2 linked regions of the Astyanax mexicanus genome follow. The protein of the gene in region 1 interacts with the protein of each later gene in a pairwise test. Links are inferred from orthologs where the notes say so. Each region holds a gene or a part of one and is shown in the gene's direction. Other genes may lie near its edges.

The links.
Region 2: the proteins of mlx (region 1) and mxd1 interact in a two-hybrid assay, tested with the Homo sapiens proteins (2 studies listed by BioGRID and IntAct). The link is inferred for Astyanax mexicanus from reciprocal best matches to the Homo sapiens genes MLX and MXD1.

The regions. Positions count from the first base shown.
Region 1 is NC_064426.1:23,206,394-23,215,340, reverse strand, and holds the start of mlx (max-like protein X), read left to right. Parts: upstream 1-5,129; 5' UTR 5,130-5,226; coding exon 5,227-5,268; intron 5,269-8,434; coding exon 8,435-8,474; intron 8,475-8,947. Other genes in the region: fmnl1a (formin-like protein 1), read right to left, coding at 1,051-1,215. UniProt on the Homo sapiens protein: Transcription regulator. Forms a sequence-specific DNA-binding protein complex with MAD1, MAD4, MNT, WBSCR14 and MLXIP which recognizes the core sequence 5'-CACGTG-3'. The TCFL4-MAD1, TCFL4-MAD4, TCFL4-WBSCR14 complexes are transcriptional repressors.
Region 2 is NC_064429.1:36,922,837-36,932,030, reverse strand, and holds the start of mxd1 (max dimerization protein 1), read left to right. Parts: upstream 1-5,061; 5' UTR 5,062-5,924; coding exon 5,925-5,991; intron 5,992-7,935; coding exon 7,936-8,035; intron 8,036-9,194. Other genes in the region: snrnp27 (U4/U6.U5 small nuclear ribonucleoprotein 27 kDa protein), read left to right, coding at 710-764. UniProt on the Homo sapiens protein: Component of a transcriptional repressor complex together with MAX. In complex with MAX binds to the core DNA sequence 5'-CAC[GA]TG-3'. Antagonizes MYC transcriptional activity by competing with MYC for MAX binding.

The DNA.
Region 1 (8,947 bases):
AGATTTATATTGGTTTTTATATTTTTGTCTAATATTCTAAAATAAAATGCTGTAAATGCTATTTGTTTGTAGTGAGATATTTAACATTAGAATAAGATTTGGTTACTTAGTAATTAAACCGCCTGTGGTTTCAGGACATTTACATGATACACAGTACCAGTCAAAACTCTGGACACATCTTCTCATTTAAAGTATTCGGTGAAGAAGTTAGGTGGGCTCTTATCTCTTATGGGATAACTCTTTGTCTTCCTTGTTTTAGGGTGGTCCTGATGAGAGCCACTTTCATCATAACATTTTTGATGTTTTTTGCGACTACACCTAAAGATGCTTTTAAAGTTCTTATACTTTTTGGGATTGACTGACCTTCAACAACAAGGCAATGGCAGATTAGAAATGTTCAAATATCCAAAATAAATAAAACATAAATCAAATAAAAACACTGTTTTAAAACAAAGTCAACACACTGGCTCATTTAGACTAATAGGCTCTGATAAATAAATAAACACAATGGATAAAATTGAAAAAAAAAAAAAAATCAGCAAAAATGAAATAGGTTGTTAATGTAAGTTAGATCCACTGTTTGTTTGTCTGTTTAAAGTGGGTTCTTTAACTTTTGTTATCTGATATTTACTAAACCACCTGTATTTTCAGGAGCTTTATACAGTATTTATCTTATACATGTAGGCATATCTGGGCTATTATTTATCATTTGGTTGTGAGGCCTAAAATATATCTACATATTTTATAAGCGAAATAAGGGACTTAAGATATATTTGCAGGAATCAGGAGTGTATGTGTTTAATGTACTTTTGCACATGGTGAGAATATTTAGTCATGGTTGTACATTGTTCTTTTTGCTCTTCTTGCTTGTTTGATGTGTGTTTGATTGTCGTGTAAAGTTTTACTTCGGTATTAAACTGTCCTATTTGTGTCTTTAATCATTATGTATCCTTTTAAAACAATTAATATTTGATTGTTCTTGTTTACATCTAAACATATGTGGGCGTTCTTTCTTTTTGTTCCATCACTGTTCATGTGTGAATCACTCACCAAAACCACATTGAAGCGCTCCTCTAGTTCCTCCTCGGGGGGCATGGGGAGTTTGGGTGGGGCCGTTTTCTTCTTTATTGTGCCAGGTAAGGGACTGGTCCCACCCAACGAGGCCCGGGCCTCCTGGCCCTCCGGCTGCTCTAGGCCACCTGCCGCATTACCCATCACTACCTTCCGAAAGTATTCCAGGATCCCAACCTCCAGCAAGTGACAATTCCCACAGCAAACGGCTTCTGACCAATCACGGCCAGTCAACTCTTAAAGATCAAATCCAATGCCTTTTTCGAAAGTTTACGAATCTCCACAATGTTCTTTGGTTCGGTCAGGTCCAAAAAAGTGGCTGAAGCATTTCTTTTATGACATGCTGTCAAAAACAGCAAGAGCAGGAGGAAAGATCAAAGGGAAAAAGTAGCAAAAAAACAAAAATAATCAGAATTTTGTAATCTTGTACTCTACCGATAAAAAAAAATAGGGTTTTACCATCAATTTAATGCATAAGAAGCAAAACACACAGTCCTATATTGAGCAATCTCCTGTTCGTTTCAAAATGGAGGGAAAAACACACCAGACACACATATGTATGCAAAAAACACTGTGTCTGGAAAAAAGGGAAGCAGAAATGCCACTTACAATGCTAACATTCACTTTATGAACAATAGCTGTCCTTCAGGCAAAGTGAATCAAGTTTTGAATGCCCTCCAGCTGTTCAGTAACGTTGCTCAGCACTAGGCCTCTGTCTGCTCATCCTCTGGTTGAGAGTGACGCACGCTGAAGCATCTTTCTTCATCCTTTCAGTAACATCCACTGTCTGTCCAACAACACTGAAGTTTATCCTCGAAAAGATAGGAAGTGTGAACGAAGAAGAGAAGAAGACACCTGTCCGAATGTTAAACTTCTAGTGGGCTCTGGTGTGTGTGTGTGTGTGTGTGTCTCCTTGTTTGAAAAAACGTTTAGCGTTTAGTGACAAGGGAGGGTTGAAGTGCAAGAGGAGGAAACCACAGAAAAAAGCAGAAGCAACAGACGCTTCCTGAAAACGATGCGCAAGAGAAACTGAGAGAGAGAGAGAAAAAGAGCAAGAGAAGAGGCTGAAAGCCAGAGCAAGAGAAAGAAAGAGAGAGAAAAAATCGTAATAGATGTGACATAGTACTAACTTCAAGCTGAAAGATAAACTGGTGTTGGTCTTTATTAATTATTAAATATGTGCAAAAGAAGGTTTGGCCTTGTGGAAAAACAAAAGTCATGTTGGCTAGATCTGGCCTTCTACCCACTTTTGACTTACTATATCTCCATAAACTTACCTCAGAATGCCACCGTGTGGTACATACACCATATTACCAAGAGAAGCAGCTCGTCTGTCTTGAGTTTGGTGATGTAAGGCTTGGGTGGAGCGGCTCAGCCATGGAACCCATTCCATGAAGGTCTTCACGCTCTACGCTGTTCTTGGGCTAATCTGACAGCCACATGAAGTTTGAAGGTCTGGAGTGATAGACTCTGCTGTAGAAAGTTGGAGATCCGTTGACTCCTGTCTCTGTTATTTTACATTGGCAGAGCGAGTTGCTTTTGTTCCCAGTTGCTTCCACTTTGTTATAATAGCACAGACAGTTGGCTGTGGAATATTTACTAGTGAGGAAATTTTGTGACTGGACTTGTTTCACAGGTACTGCATCCTATCACAGTAAAACACTGGAATTCACTGATTTCCTGATAGTGCCGCATTCTTTCACTAATGTTTGTAGAAGCAGTCTGCATGCCTAGGCCCTTGGTGTTATACACATGTGGATTTCCACCCTTAGTCTTACGTCAGAATGATAAAATTTGCATAGAACCACTCAGGCACCACCCTTCATACATCAACCCCTACCAGAGCCTCACCCAATAGATCAGTTGAAGATCTGCCACACTGAATGCGTTGGCTACAGGCAAAAGAAAGTCACATGTGGTGTTTTTTGGCTGCCAAGAACAACACATTCTTTTTTCAATGGCCATGTTTCAACAACAATCGCCAAGAAACTTCTGGTGTGTGCAAACCACTTCAAGGCAGACAGCTTTGAGAACCTTGGACAGTACACAGCAAGATTACCCAGCAGACTTTGTCTGAGGGAGGGATCTGTACCTGCTGTCCGTGGCAAGTCAGCAGAGTTTTGTTTCTATCTCAATTATGCATGAACTACCTTGCTCATGTTTTGCTATTTAGCACAAGCTGACATTAACATTACTGCTAGTCCTGCACATGAATTTAGTGAAACTAAGGAGAGATGGCAATGATAACCAAAAATAACAAGTAACAAGTTAATTAAATTAAAAAGCTGACTAACCCTTCAGGAACCACTTGCTGCATTCTTAAAGGTGTTTGTGCAGGTGTAACTTTGATTTTTTTTCCTTTTGTAAACGTCTAGCTTGGGAGTAACCATACAGGATTGTTTCAGATAGTTGCTGTCGGACCAAAATCATGGCTCTCTACAATAGTAAATGCAGCCTTTACCTTTTTTTGCTGATCCATTTGTCAAGTCATTTTGAAGGAGAGCAAGGAAAAGCTGGATTTGAGCAGCAAAAGCCCAACAGCGGCAGCCCAGCAAACAAGGACATTGTACCCACAACCCTGTGATCAATAACACAGTGCTCAAACCACTGAGCCACGCATCTTTTCCACATTAATAAAATATATATCATAAACACAGTTTTGTCAGTCAGTACTTCTGTACAACATCTTCTGTAAATCTGTATGTATAATTTATGTACAAAATAAATCAGCTAGTTTTAGTCTATAACTTTTTCTGTATATTCATGGAAGAAAAAGGACCCCAGGACATAAACACCACTTAAAAGAATGTGTGTTTATGTGGGTGTGCCCCTAAGCTTTCACTGCCTTAGGCAACTGCCCGTATCGACCCTGCCAGTAACCACCGCTGGAGCCGCGAGCGTGTCCAGAATAAGGAAGAATGATGAGAGGAACTGTTCAGACCCCCGTAGTGATAGTGATCTCTTCACCAAACTGCCATTACAGAGACATTTCAAGGCCAGCACCACCCACACAAAATATCACTTCAACATCTCCAGCCTCTTCCCTGGAGCAATCTGGCTTCTGAATGTCACCCCTGTCGCTCCCTACATACATAAATAATGTTTTCCAATGTAGTTCTATTCCAATATGAAAAAGTATAACAAAAGGTAAGTGTATTTATACAGTATTAATATACATTAATATATCAATATGCTCAATGTTTCTTGCTTTTATTTTTGTAAAACTTTATGTACCGTAATTTTTGGTCATTTTAAAGTGGGGTTCTGAGCTTACCGCATCCCGGGTCGGCAGAGTGTGCGGTGCTTCGCAGAGGTATCCAGCTGTTACCAGTTGAGCTTTTATTTTCTTTGTAACTGGTTTTAAAGCAAATTACATTCAACAAACCCCTTTTTTCGCCTATACATTTATATTAGACTTACCAATTAATTTTATGACAAGGATCTTGTGACTACTGTATTATTTTAAACCGTACGTACACCCTAAGAACATATTTTATGTACCGTGAACGCAGCACTGTTCACGGTACGTAACTATATTTGTGTACATGGCCTGTTTAATTAAAAGTGTGGCTCATAGCCATGTGCGGCTTGTAGTCAGGCTAATTATGTGTGGCCTGTATACAAACATTTTTTTTTAATTAGTGGGTGGGGCTTACAGTTGCGCTTAATAGCTCGAAAATTATGATATCTCAAAATGGATGCAGTATGTGGTTTAGCATTGTATTGCTGACATATGCAAGGCTTCCTGAAAGAGACATTGTCAGGAAGTTCTAAAGCCTCTATGTACTGCATACTGTATAAATTCAGCATTGATAGTACCTTTTCAGATGTGTAATTTCCAGAGCTGTCAAAAATATTAATAATTCCCTGAATATTTATGTAAAAGAACTTTGGATAAAACACTGACTTATTTTTCATAGTAATGTCAGAAGTTATTCCATAAAAAAATGTTTTATGTGAAGAGAATTTATGAATATCCAGATTTCCTCCTGCTGTGAGCTCTAAAACCTCTTTACCCTCCTCTGCTGGTGATAGAGGAGTGTGTCCCCGGGTTCTGACTCCTGATCAGCTGAGATCAGCAGCAGCAGACGGCGCTGTTCTCCAGCGCGCTCCCCTCAGCTCCTCATCCCGTGATCTTTCCGTGTTTCTTCCAAAATGACGGAGCCCAGCGCGTCGCCGGAGGATCCCTGGCACAAAGTAAGCAGACAGTTCAGCTGTTTAACTCCTGTAGAAGACAGTCAGGTGCTTTACTGATGTGATAAACCTGAGATTAGAGAATATAAGCGCTGGAATCAACTAACGTTACTTTCACTTTATGATGATCAATAGAAGACTAATAGTAAAGCTGGCTAAACAAAAGAAAACTTGGGGATCTGGCTCCTTTGTGTTTATCTACGTCATATTAGCGTTAGCCAACGTCTTCCCAGACTTATAACATGATTTATAACACTGTAGTAACTTATCAGACTGCGAATGATCACTGATATAACAATGATGTATCTCTATTTGGGATAGAGAATGTCCAGAAACGTCCATAAGTATAAATCCACTCCGGGATTTTGCTCCAACTGCGTGGACGCTGTAGCTGCAAGTAGACCCGCACAGGCTGTTGGAACAAAACCCTGGGATGGATTCGTATTTCTGGACCTGGATTAGCCAACTCTAGTAACAAGCTTAATGTCTTAGCTAGCTAACAAGCTATATTTGTAAATATATATTTCTAAATGATTTTAAATAAGCTCGTTTGTCTATATTGTACATTAAAATATACAACTTAGTACAGTATTGTACAACTAAAATATCCGCCTCATAAACTCTAAAATAACTTAAATAGCTAAATTAGGTAGTTAGTTAGCGTTAGCTAAGACTGTAAGTTAGCCTCTTCTCAAAACTCGGTGTTGTCACCGAGCTCAGCTGACCTACATTGGATTCGGAAACGCTAACTAGCTAAACTAACCTTAGTTTGGATTAGCTAGCTAGGTTAGCTTAGCTAGAAAACTTGTGTAAAAACGACATTCTTTACATATTTTGTAAAGTTTACTGTTAAGTAGCTTAGAAAGGAGAGTTTACTATTGTGTAAAACATGTTTACCTTACAGTGAGCTCTGTTTCACTTTTTAGGGGGTGCTTTGTTTTAGTTTAATACTTAGTGATACTGATATAAATTGTTAAACTAGCATTACTGACAGAAATTGGCTGTATAGCTAGATAGCTAGTTGGATACTTAAAGTGACACTAAGCCATATTTTTTTCATTAATAGATGAAATGTGTTCCTGAAAAGGCACAAAACGTATTAGTTTTGCTTAAATTTTGTATATACATTTCCTAACCAGGTTCAACTGTGCTATAGGCAAGGATGATGTGTCCGTGTACATTGGTATGCAGACACTTACAATATGCAGATAACACCTGTCAATAAATAATAACACCCCCCTGCTGAACTCAAACCATCTGGGTATCAAAGGCACACTGCTGTTGCTGCAGCTTAGCCTGTCAGCTCTCCCTTCTGCACCGCCTCTAAACCCAAACATCACCCAGTGCCATGCCCAAACTACCCCTCCCATTTTTTTTTTACTTTTTCAAGTTTGAAGTCAGCACAAATCTGTGCTTTAATGCGGTTTAATAAAGTGGTTGACTGTTTATCAAGGGATAGATGTGGGCAATATGGATGCACGATACTGGCACATATCTGACATTGCAATATGTTTTTTCTGCAAAATATATATTGTGATACAAATTTTACAAATTTTCACTAGATTTCACCAGGAAAGTCATAGGTCCAAAATAATTATATAAAGTGGTTTATTCTTCACTGTGCTAGAAAAGCTGTAAAGTTGATTGGCAGTTTTAATATTGTCAGATGTTTTTAGACAAATAATGCAATATTGCTCTAATATGCTGATTCTAAGAGCCGGTCAGATTATATTCTTTGTGCAAAGATCCTCTATCACATGATGATTACATTTCTTGGTAAAAAAAAAAAATGTATATGGAAATATAAGGCTTGTACATGGCTGCAGAATCGCATTGTATTGCGCCTCTTGAAGGGAGCAAGGCACACTATGCTGCCATCCTTGGTTGTTTTTTTTAGAGGCTCCCCTACAGACCAAGAGTAAATGTTCTCTGTCACAATGCTATTCCTCTGGTTCCATACCCTAGCCATGCATGATGTGTTGAGCACAATAGACTATTAAACATATCAGAAAAGGGTTTGTACATTGCATGTTTGGGGGAAAAAAAGTCAGAAAAGAGTTTTTTGAGTAGCAAGTGCGACAAGATCTTATACTGGATTCTGATTTTATATATTGTAAAATCCACTTCAAACCAAATTTGTGCCAAATAATGTGCTGTTTAGTAAAGTAAATACACATACCTGGACTAAACGTCACTTATGAAGCAAGCTTGCAAAATAGTTCATAATAATAGACAGGCAATATTAGAATTTTAGCTCTGGCTATTCGGAGAAGACTTGCACATCTATAACTATGGCCCTCTAGCAACTAGCCTGCCTCTTGCTTTTTGCTGAGGATATATGTAGCATTTGCCATAAAGCGAGACTGACTCTTGCAATGCCCAAGATTTTTTTTTCCCCTACAGACCAAAAGGGTGAAAAAGTGAGAAACTTCTTACGCTTCATAATTACCCATGTATTTATCTTAAACAGTATGAAATGCATTGATTAACTGAAAATGTTGCATGGTGTGCCTTTAATACCAGTAACCGGATTCCCCTCCTGAGGTCTTCAATTGGCATCAGCGATCCACCAAACGCATTGAAAGACAATCTGTAATCGGTGTAACCTCCCGTTTTTAGAGTGTATTTCTGCATTGTCTAAAGTCATTGCTGCATCCCTAATAATAATAATGCTATTTTGATAATGATGAAGCATGCTGTTAAAGGTTGATCTTCATCCACAGCTAAAATTGTCACAGTTTATCTTTATAATGCTAAATTATCATAATTTTAACCGAGCCCTATTCACTGGCATTGTAAGTGCAGGTACATTTAAGTGGCATTTCTCATTGTTAGCATTGTAAATGGCATTTATTATTCTCATCATTGCTGAAAGTGCCTTCGCTTTTATGGTTCCAGCGTTTTGTAAAGTAATAAAGCCGTCTCTGCCGGGCGTAGCGGGGTGCTAATGGTTATTTATTGAGGACATATCACAGTAGGGAGTACTGGTGTCCTAGATGCATGATGTGCCAGGTGTATAACTTTTAGTGCTGGCGGGTGGTTTGTATCGGTCTGTCTGTCTGTCTGTGTCTCTCTTTTCTTTACCGTTAAGAGAATTCTGTCATTTTGTCTGAATTAATCCGAGTGTTTATTTTTCCCTCGTCCTGAACTTCACCTCGCCATGGCTCAGCAGACGGACGGCACCTTTAGCGACAATGGCTTTGACCACAGTAAGTACTTAAGCCTGGCTTTAAGTGTGTGTCTATTTAAGCAGCCCTGAAAGGAGTGGTTTTATTAGTTTAGTGTTATTGTAGTAGTTCATTGGTTTTATTATGTCATATGTTTAATTAATTGGGTTTAGAAAAATGTAGTGTATAGTTTTATAGTTTTAGTGCTTGTATATCTTCACTGTTACAGATCAATAAATATGCAGAAGCAGAAAACCGTATTATCTTTTAATGAAAGTCAAAGTAAAAAAAAATTGGAGGAATTTTATTCCCTCATTAATTAATAGATGTTGACTTAAGGTAAATGACAATTAGATTCACATTATGTCATGAAGTAAAACATTTTATTATATATATATATATATATATATATATATATATATATATATATATATATATATATAAATGACTGTTTCCTTAATATAGCATACCTCAAAACAAAAAGACAATAAGGTAATATATATTAAAATATGTCA
Region 2 (9,194 bases), on another chromosome or scaffold:
CCTCATTTCAATCCTGAAATATTACTGTGTCCATCAGTTATTAGATATATCAAACTGAAATGGCTGTTTCAAACACCCAAATATTTAGAACTAAAAATGAGTAAGATTAATAGGGGTGCCCAAACTTTTTCATATGACTGTAATCCCATTTAAAAACATCTCATTTATATTTGTAAGTATACAAATATATAGTCGCTGAGTCTCATATTTGTAAAATAATATCAAATATCGGAAACACTTTTACATTAAGGATAATTAAATAAGAGTCGTTATGACTTTAATAAATATTGTGAAATTGTTAAGCAAGTTATTTAATAAATTATCTTAAAATATTAATTGACACTAATTAGAAATTATTAATCATTGCTAAATGTTTATGCATTAATGATTGCTGTATATGTATATGCATGTTGATGTACATGCACAGTAAAATCAGCAGCATCTCTCTGAGGATGTGTCTCTGAGATACGAGGTTTGTGCGTGGTCGGGGCGTGGATCAGCTGTATGCCTGTGTTTATGTCTGAGCTCTGCTGTTCTGAGCAGCAGCCCATTGTTTGGTTGCACTGTTAGTAGCAACAGCCTGCTTAAACAGCCAATCAGAGCTGCAGGTGCTGCACAGCTCAGAGACGCGCGCTCCCATTGGCCGGCGATGATGTAATATGTTGGTGCAGAGGGGAGATCAATGATGTAATCATATTTTCTTTTACAGACAGTATATGAACAGGAAAGGTGGATTCAACAGACCGCTGGACTTCATCGCTTAATAAAGTCGTAATCGAGCTTCCTGAGACTTCGCTTTGATCCACTCTGTGTAACTTTGTAACTTTTAGTTTTTGTTTAGTGTTTGTGCTTGCAGTTTTTATTATTATTATTATCATCATTATTTCCTATATTTAGGATTTATTGTTCACATGCCTGTTTTATTTCTTGAAGGGTTTAAAAAGCTTGAACACTGTTGAGTAGTTTCACCTCTATATTGTGTGATTCTGTATTGTGGTTCCCAATATTAATAAAACAAGAAAAAAAACCCACAAAAAACTCTTGTGTTCCTTTTATACAGCTCTGGGGGAAAAAAATACGATTTGGAATATAATCAAGAGGAAGATGGATGATCACAAACCACCAAACTGAACTGCTTGAATTTTTGCACCAGGAGTAAAGCAGCATAAAGTTATCCAAAAGCAGTGTGTAAGACTGGTGGAGGAGGAGAACATGATGCCAAGATGCATGAAAAAAAACTGTGATTAAAAACCAGGGTTATTCCACCAAATATTGATTATTTCTGAACTCTTAAAACTTTATGAATATGAACTTGTTTTCTTTGCATTATTTGAGGTCTGAAAGTTCTGCATCTTTTTTGTTATTTCAGTCATTTCTCATTTTCTGTAAATAAATGCTCTAAATGAGAATATTTTTATTTGGAATTTGGGAGAAATGTTGTCTGTAGTTTATAGAATAAAACAACAATGCTCATTTTACTCAAACATAAACCTATAAATAGCAAAATCAGAGAAACTGGTTTGTGTTCTCTTCACTTTTTCCAGAGCTTCTTGTTTCTAATACAAAAAACATATTTTTTTTGCTATAAACTGCCTTAGATTAACTAAAAACTGAAAAAAAACATATTGTTTAAAAAAGAGGGGGTGATTTTTAGCAAACGGTTCATGGTTTAACAGTTTATAGCTGGTCTGTAGCATATATGTATTGGATATATGTAAAGGATTTTATATTATTCCAAGTAGTAAAGCAGTGGTGGAACAGATGGTGTTACTGCTGTTACTCTCTACAGCAGCAACATTTACATACTTACACACTTACAGCACATTCACACTTTCATCATCATTATATCTAGAAAAAGACACAGAAACACAGAGAACTCTGTAACTATTAAAAGTTATTTTCTTTAGAGAAATTAGTGATACAACCTTCAAAAGACTCTTGGAAACTGGAGAAAGCTGCTACAGGAAGACGTCTGGCTGACCCACATGGAAACAGCAGCTTTTAGACTTTAGCTCAGATTAACATGATTAAGGACTGAGTCTCAGTTTCAGCAGAGAAGAGAAGAATTAGAATTAGGGTTAATCTGACAGGAGAAGAAGAACTGCAGTAATAAAAAGAACTGCAGCTACTGGACTATTAAACAATTGGTGTGTTCTAAAACTTTTGACCGATAGTATATTTATAAATTATATAAAAGTATTGCATGAAGATATTAAAGTGTTTGTGCAACACGTTATATTCATATGTAGTAAATAGACTAATTTATTAAGTGTAATGCCCTCTTAAAACACTCTTAATCTCTGTATTAACTAATAATAAATTATCCTAATTCTCCACTAATAATATTTATTCTTATTTATTAAAATTATTAACTGATTAAATATTATTATAAGGGAAAAGCAGCTCGGAGGTGAATTTCTGCAGAACAGCATGTGCTAGGGGCGTGGCTTCAGGGGGTGTCTCATTTCAACCAATCACAAGCAAGGTTTTCTAGGGTTGGTGCTTTTTGATCAATCACTGCAATGGAGTTCTGTGGGTGTTGCCTTTTCTGGCCAATCAGGAGCGACCATATATCTCGGCGAGGAGGCGACCGACCAATAGGCGCAGGACAACAAAGCACTCTTTTTAGTTTTTGTGTAATTTTTTGTATATTTTTAACTGGATTTATTTATAATGCTTTTTGTAGCATTTTTGCGCTATTTTTATTTACGTATTATATTTACGTACATTTTTTTTACAACGAGTCTGAGAAAAAAATGGCAACCATGGCAACCAATAGGAATCCACTTCCTGTTCCGGATTCTCCAGTGTTCTGTCAGTTTGTGCTCTCTTGACAAAACGTGCTACCATCGTGTATATTTATAGAACATATTTTCAAAAGACAAAAGCACCATATTAGAAATACAAATACAGTTAAAATAAAAAAACTATGTAAAACATTATGTATGTGAATACATACATACATATATTTGTGTCTGTTTTCCTTTATGTATTTGTTGCAGCATGTAATAATTCATATTTGAATAGGTATTGACTGATTTCTAATATAAAATGCATATATAGAAGTAATTGATGCAACAACAACAAGAACGACTACAAAAAAAAAGAAAAATGTATAATTTAGTATTTTTGTATGCTTTTAAATGCAATTGTAAATACATATTGTATGAAACCCCCTTTTCAAAAATTTTAAAAACACAAATAACACAGTGGAGAGTCCAAATATGTTTGAGGAATACACCACATAAATATCATAAATCAATAATAAATAATTATTAATTAATACGTTAACTAAATAAGAGATTGAGAGAGAATAGCACTAATATATGGAAGCCCATTTCCGCCACCTGAAGAAAAAAAAACGTCCTCAACTAAGTCATAATTATGAGATAGAAAAGTCATAATTATGGGATAGTAAGTCATAATTATGAGATAGAAAGTCATAATTATGAGATACTAAGTCATAATTATGAGATAGAAAGTCATAATTATGAGATAGAAAGTCATAATTATGAGATGACTTTTTATCTCATAAATATGAGATAGTAAGTCATAATTATGAGATAAAAATCATCTCATAATTATGACTTTCTATCTCATAATTATGACTTTTTTATCTCATAATTATGACTTACTATCTCATAATTATGACTTACTATCTCATAATTATGACTTACTATCCCATAATTATGACTTTTCTATCTCATAATTATGACTTACTATCTCATAATTATGACTTTTTTATCTCATAATTATGACTTAGTTTCTCATAATTATGACTTACTATCTCATAATTATGACTTTCTATCTCATAAATATGCCTTCTATCCCATAATTATGACTTTTCTATCTCATAATTATGACTTAGTTGAGGACGTTTTTTTTTCTTCAGGTGGCGGAAATGGGCTTCCATACTAATACTTAACAGCAAAAATCAACATTAAAAAAAAACCTTTTTAAAGAATGTGTGCGTGTCCGCGCATGCGCAGTATCGGTAGGAAGCACTTTTGGACGGGTAGCACAACTCGACAGAACACCGTCTTCTGGCTTTGTCGGATAATGCCTGGTTATTTTACCTAGATAAATATGTTTACGTGCAGCTGAACAGCGCTAAAACGTTTATTTATATAGCTAACGAATACCATCAGAATTAGTTAGTTGGCTAAAACAAGCTTAATGTTATCTGTCAACTTTATTCTTATTATTCGTATTATTTTGACAACTGTATTGCTGTTTTTAGTGCATGTGGTCTGTTATATATATATATATATATATTTTTTTTTTATGCATTGCAAACCACAGCGTTAACCAGGAATCCATTGCTACCCATATACAATGGTTTCTAACGTGAACGTCCTGCGATTTTTAAAAATGTATTTATTATTTATCTGTCTTTTTTAGATGTCTTTTGACTGTTATATGCAGTGTATTATTGCAACTTAGAAATACTCAGTAAAAGCATTTCAGTAGCTTACGTTTTGCATTTTATTCTATTTGTATTTATTTATTTATTTATCTACATTTATATATACATATATATTGATTATGTATCTTTATCTAAAATATCTATACTATATATCGTCTCTAAATGATAAAATATTACAGTTCATTTCATCTGTTTACGTATTTTATTTTTTCATTTTGCATTACACTAACGTTTATATTTTTTATTTAATTATTATTAAATTTAATGTCTAATTTATACAACGTAAAAATACAATTTATTCTATCTTGTTACGTTTTTTATTATTTTTTTTTTACACTAACGTTAATATTTGTATTTAATTATTACTTCTATTTAATGTATTATTCATACAAGGTAAAAATGCAGTATATTCTATCTGGTTACGTATTTTATTTACGTTATTTTCTATTTTTTTACACCGAGACACGATTAAAAAATAGGTGACAAAAAAAACTGACAGCCGCTTCAGCCAATAGCAACCCGCCTTCCTCCTCCAACGCCGTGAACTCACGCCCCACAGCCGTACCGACCAATCAGAACGCAGTCCTCTCCGACACCGCGCCAGCTCGACCAATCGGAGCGCGGCCTGCTGTGAGGTGCGTGTATTGTGGCTGTAGCTCTGGTCGGGCAGCAGGAGCAGGAGGCAGAATCCAGCAGCTCTGTGCTTTAAAGCACTATTTATTTAACCTAAAAACAGCGTTTAAAAGCTAAAACCGCTGGATTTAAGCTAAAACTAAGCGTTTATTCGCTTTTTACCTTTAATCTGCTGAAGAACTGGTCTGTCAGCGTTGTTTTGGCTTTGAGTTCATGCTTTAAGAAGTGCCTGTGCTGCACTGTATTCTTATTTTTCGTGTTTTAAGGAGATTTTAACGTGTTTTTTTTGCACTAATCCAGCATATATGCTTTATATATAAGCAGGATTCCCTTTATAAAGAAGATATACAGGAGCTAGCTGGCTGGCTCTGTAGCAGCAACAAGAAAAGGGACGTGTTTTTCCATATTCTGATTTTATTTTTAGATTTTTTGGACGTTTTATAGTGGGATTCAGGCTGTAAAATCACTGTTTTGGAGAGTTGGACTGTTTTTTTCTTTGGGAACACTTTTTTTTGGACGTTTTGCACTACATTAAAGGAGGCACATCTACATTTTCTTTCATTTTCCTGCCTTTTTCCAACAGAAAACCATAAAAAAAATCAATTTATCAATTTTTTTAATCAATTTTATTTCTTGTATTTGTATTTCTGCAGCTTCTGCTCCTAAGAAAGCTGGAATATCTTTTGTTTTTATCCAGCAGAACTGCAGCCCACACGAAGAACACAAGAAAAACAACAGCTAGACTCTGCTTTTTTATTATTTTTTAACATTTTTTAAGGACACAATCTGACCTGGAGTGTCACACAGCTCTATATACATCATATATACATTTTTATCATTTTTAATTCCTGTGTTATTGTTGAAAATGGCTGCCATTGGTTTGGTGCAGATGTTGATCGAAGCTGCTGAGTATCTGGATCGAAGGGAAAGAGGTGAGTGATTAATAAATAATAATAATAATTAAAAATAGAAAAATGCATGCAAAATTATCGTAATCTTACTCTATAGCTATATTTAAAGTAATTTTTAGACCATACTACCATCAACATCATCATTATCAACATCAACACCAGCAGTATTAATATACACAGTATATTTTACACACACAGACCTATATAACCTATATAATGTACCTTCTGTAATAAATGCATGTATACAAAATATATCATATGTATAAAATGAAAATCTCTTTCCTATACAGCTTTTTTATATAAGAATACTAAAAAAACACACATGATAGCTACTCTATATCATATTATAAGATAAAACTTTTGTTACTACTGAAATTATTTTACTGGAAAAATAAAATTTGGCAAAAAAAAACAAATTTAGTTTAAGGCTATTTAATTTGTGTGTTTGTTAAAATATGAATGAATGAATGAATGAATGAATAAGCGAAAACCAGCCATAAACAGGGTTTGTAATAAATATGTCATAATTTATATACATACTAAATAATAATATAATATTTTTTAGGTTATTTAATCTGTGTATTGGTAAAAAGAAAAAAAAAACATGGCAAATTTAATTAAAAAAAACAAAAAAATTATTTTAAATAGGTATTCAGTATTCACATCAGAATTCTGTAAAAACAGATTAATAATATCTATAAAAATATATGTTTTGTTGCTTTTTAAATTAGATTAATTTAATGTTCTTTAATGTTTTAAAGGAGAGCTTTTTTTAATGTAGTGAATAAACACTAGTCTAGCTCCATATTCCACACTCTACAACAGCAGAGAGAGGGAGGAGCCTAAACTTCAGAAAACTGTAAATAAAAAGTAATCTACCTTCTGAACTCAACATTTGCGAATTCGGTTTGGTTTGGCCTATTTTTTGATTTTGTTCAGTTTTAGATCTTTTTTTTTATTTGGTGCAAGTTTAGTAAATTTGAAATAAATTATGATAACTTATAAAAGATAAAGGTAATTATTATATTATATTATAAATGCATGTATCTCCTAGTAAATCCTAGTAGTTCTAATTTTTCTTTCATTTTTAAAAACTCACTTATTAAAATGGTATTAAAACAGTTTTTAGGCCTAAAATCATGACCATTAATAACGACAGTATAAAGCAAAGGTTTTAACTACGTTGATAACAGTTTTGATTTTATTGGATTATATAATAAACCTATAGAGCTATAGCTTTAATTTTAGCATTTTATTTTTTAACAATCAATTTCTTGTGCTTATGATTCCATTAAATCAGTTATAATACAAATTCACATGCACGTGCAAAATCCAGCTCTTTATTTATAAACCACTTTAGCTGTGAGAGATTAGCCGTAGGCTAGGCTAGCACTGTAGAGCACTGGATTTATAAATAAGCATGCATGGCCACTGTGCATCCAGTCAGTATTTTCCTTTTTTAAAGGGTAAATTTAGATTATACAGCTTCCAAAAGGCTTTTTTATACGTGTGCATGCTTCAGTGCATATATACAGTGTATATCCTGCATGCATATGTGCTGTATTTGTGCAGCAGGGCTTTTTTATTGGGATTAAAATGGGTTTTTCAGTGCAGCTGTTTGTTCCTGATGGAGGCTTTCCTAGCGCATCCCCCCTCCCCTCGCACTGTTGTGGTTTCTCCGGCTGGCTGCTGGGTTTACTCCAGTTCAGATGACATCATTGACCCAAAAGCCGTAGATTTGCTGGAAATACGGCGAATTTGAGCAAATTAAAGCAGAAATAGACCTTGAAATGTGGCTGTTTTCATCCAAGTGCATCGAGAAACTCTAGCATCACTAATTGCAATGCATTAATATTGCGTAATTGCACGTTTGCACGATTGCATGACTGTCATCCATCATCTAAACGAGTGTACAGCGCTAACGTATTGCATTTTCCTCTGATTTCTTGTTTTTTTTTATCGCAGAAGCCGAGCATGGGTACGCCTCAATGTTACCATTCACCAGCCATAAAGACCGGGACGGGTCCAAGCGGAAAAATAAAAGCAAGAAAAACTGCAGCAGCAGGTAAATGACCTAGTTTCCGCCGCATCTGGGGCTTTGCGTAAAAAAAAAAACGTATAAAGTGGTCATGCATAATTAGGCACATTTATTATTCACGTATAACAGCCCACGTGATTTTTCATTTTTTATGTTGTGCCGCTATATTTGTGACAGAATTCCTGGCTTTTGCAGAGAAAAATGGAAAAAATATGGCTTAAATTAGCTTTAGCATCATTAGAAGAAGTCGATGAAGGTGGCGTTCATAGATATCTTGTGTTGTCTGAAAGTTGAAATGAATTTGCAGCTTTTCACTGATGGAACAGGCACTAATTAGTTAGCCGAGTCAATAAGCTAACACTTTAGAAGTAGCTCTGTGCATTTACACACCCTAAAAAAAAACCTGTTTTAACGTTTTCATGTGTTGAGTTTTTCGTGATGATTCTCTTTTTCTCTAGTGCATTATTAAAAAAAATAGTTTTTTGCAAGGCAACAGTTTGTTAGCTGGGTTGCTAAGCTAAGCTAAGCTATGCAAAGCTAATCCTCTAGAAGGGATTCTAGCCAAGTAAAACTCTTACATCCCCCGAAACAATCAAAAACTGAAAGTTAAAGTGAATAAGATTCTACTGGTGGAACTGGCACTGATTAGTTAGCTGGATAACTAAGCTAAGCTATGCAAAGCTAATTGTCTAGAAGGGATTCTAGCTAACCAAGAAGAGCACCCGGCTAAACACACGCATCCCCCAAAATAATTAAAGGTGAAAGTTAAAATGTATAAGCTTTCTACTGATGGAACAGGCACTAATTAGTTAGCTGGGTTGCTAAGCTAAGTTATGCAAAGCTAAACATCTAGAAGGGATTCTAGCCAACCAAGGAGAGCATCATGCAAAATGCTCACATGCCCCAAAACAATAAAAAAATGAAAGTTAAAATGAATAGGATTCTACTGGTGGAACTGGCACTAATTTGTTTGATAAGCTAAGCTATGCAAAGCTAATTATCTAGAAGGGATTCTAGTTGAGCAAGGAGAACACACATCCCGTGAAACAGTCGAAAGCTGAAATGGATAAGCTATCTACTGGTGGAACAGGCACTAATTAGTTAGCTGGATTGCTAAGCTAAGCTACATAAAGCTAATCATGTAGAAGGGATTCTAGCCAAGCAAGGAGAGCACCCTGCAAAACAC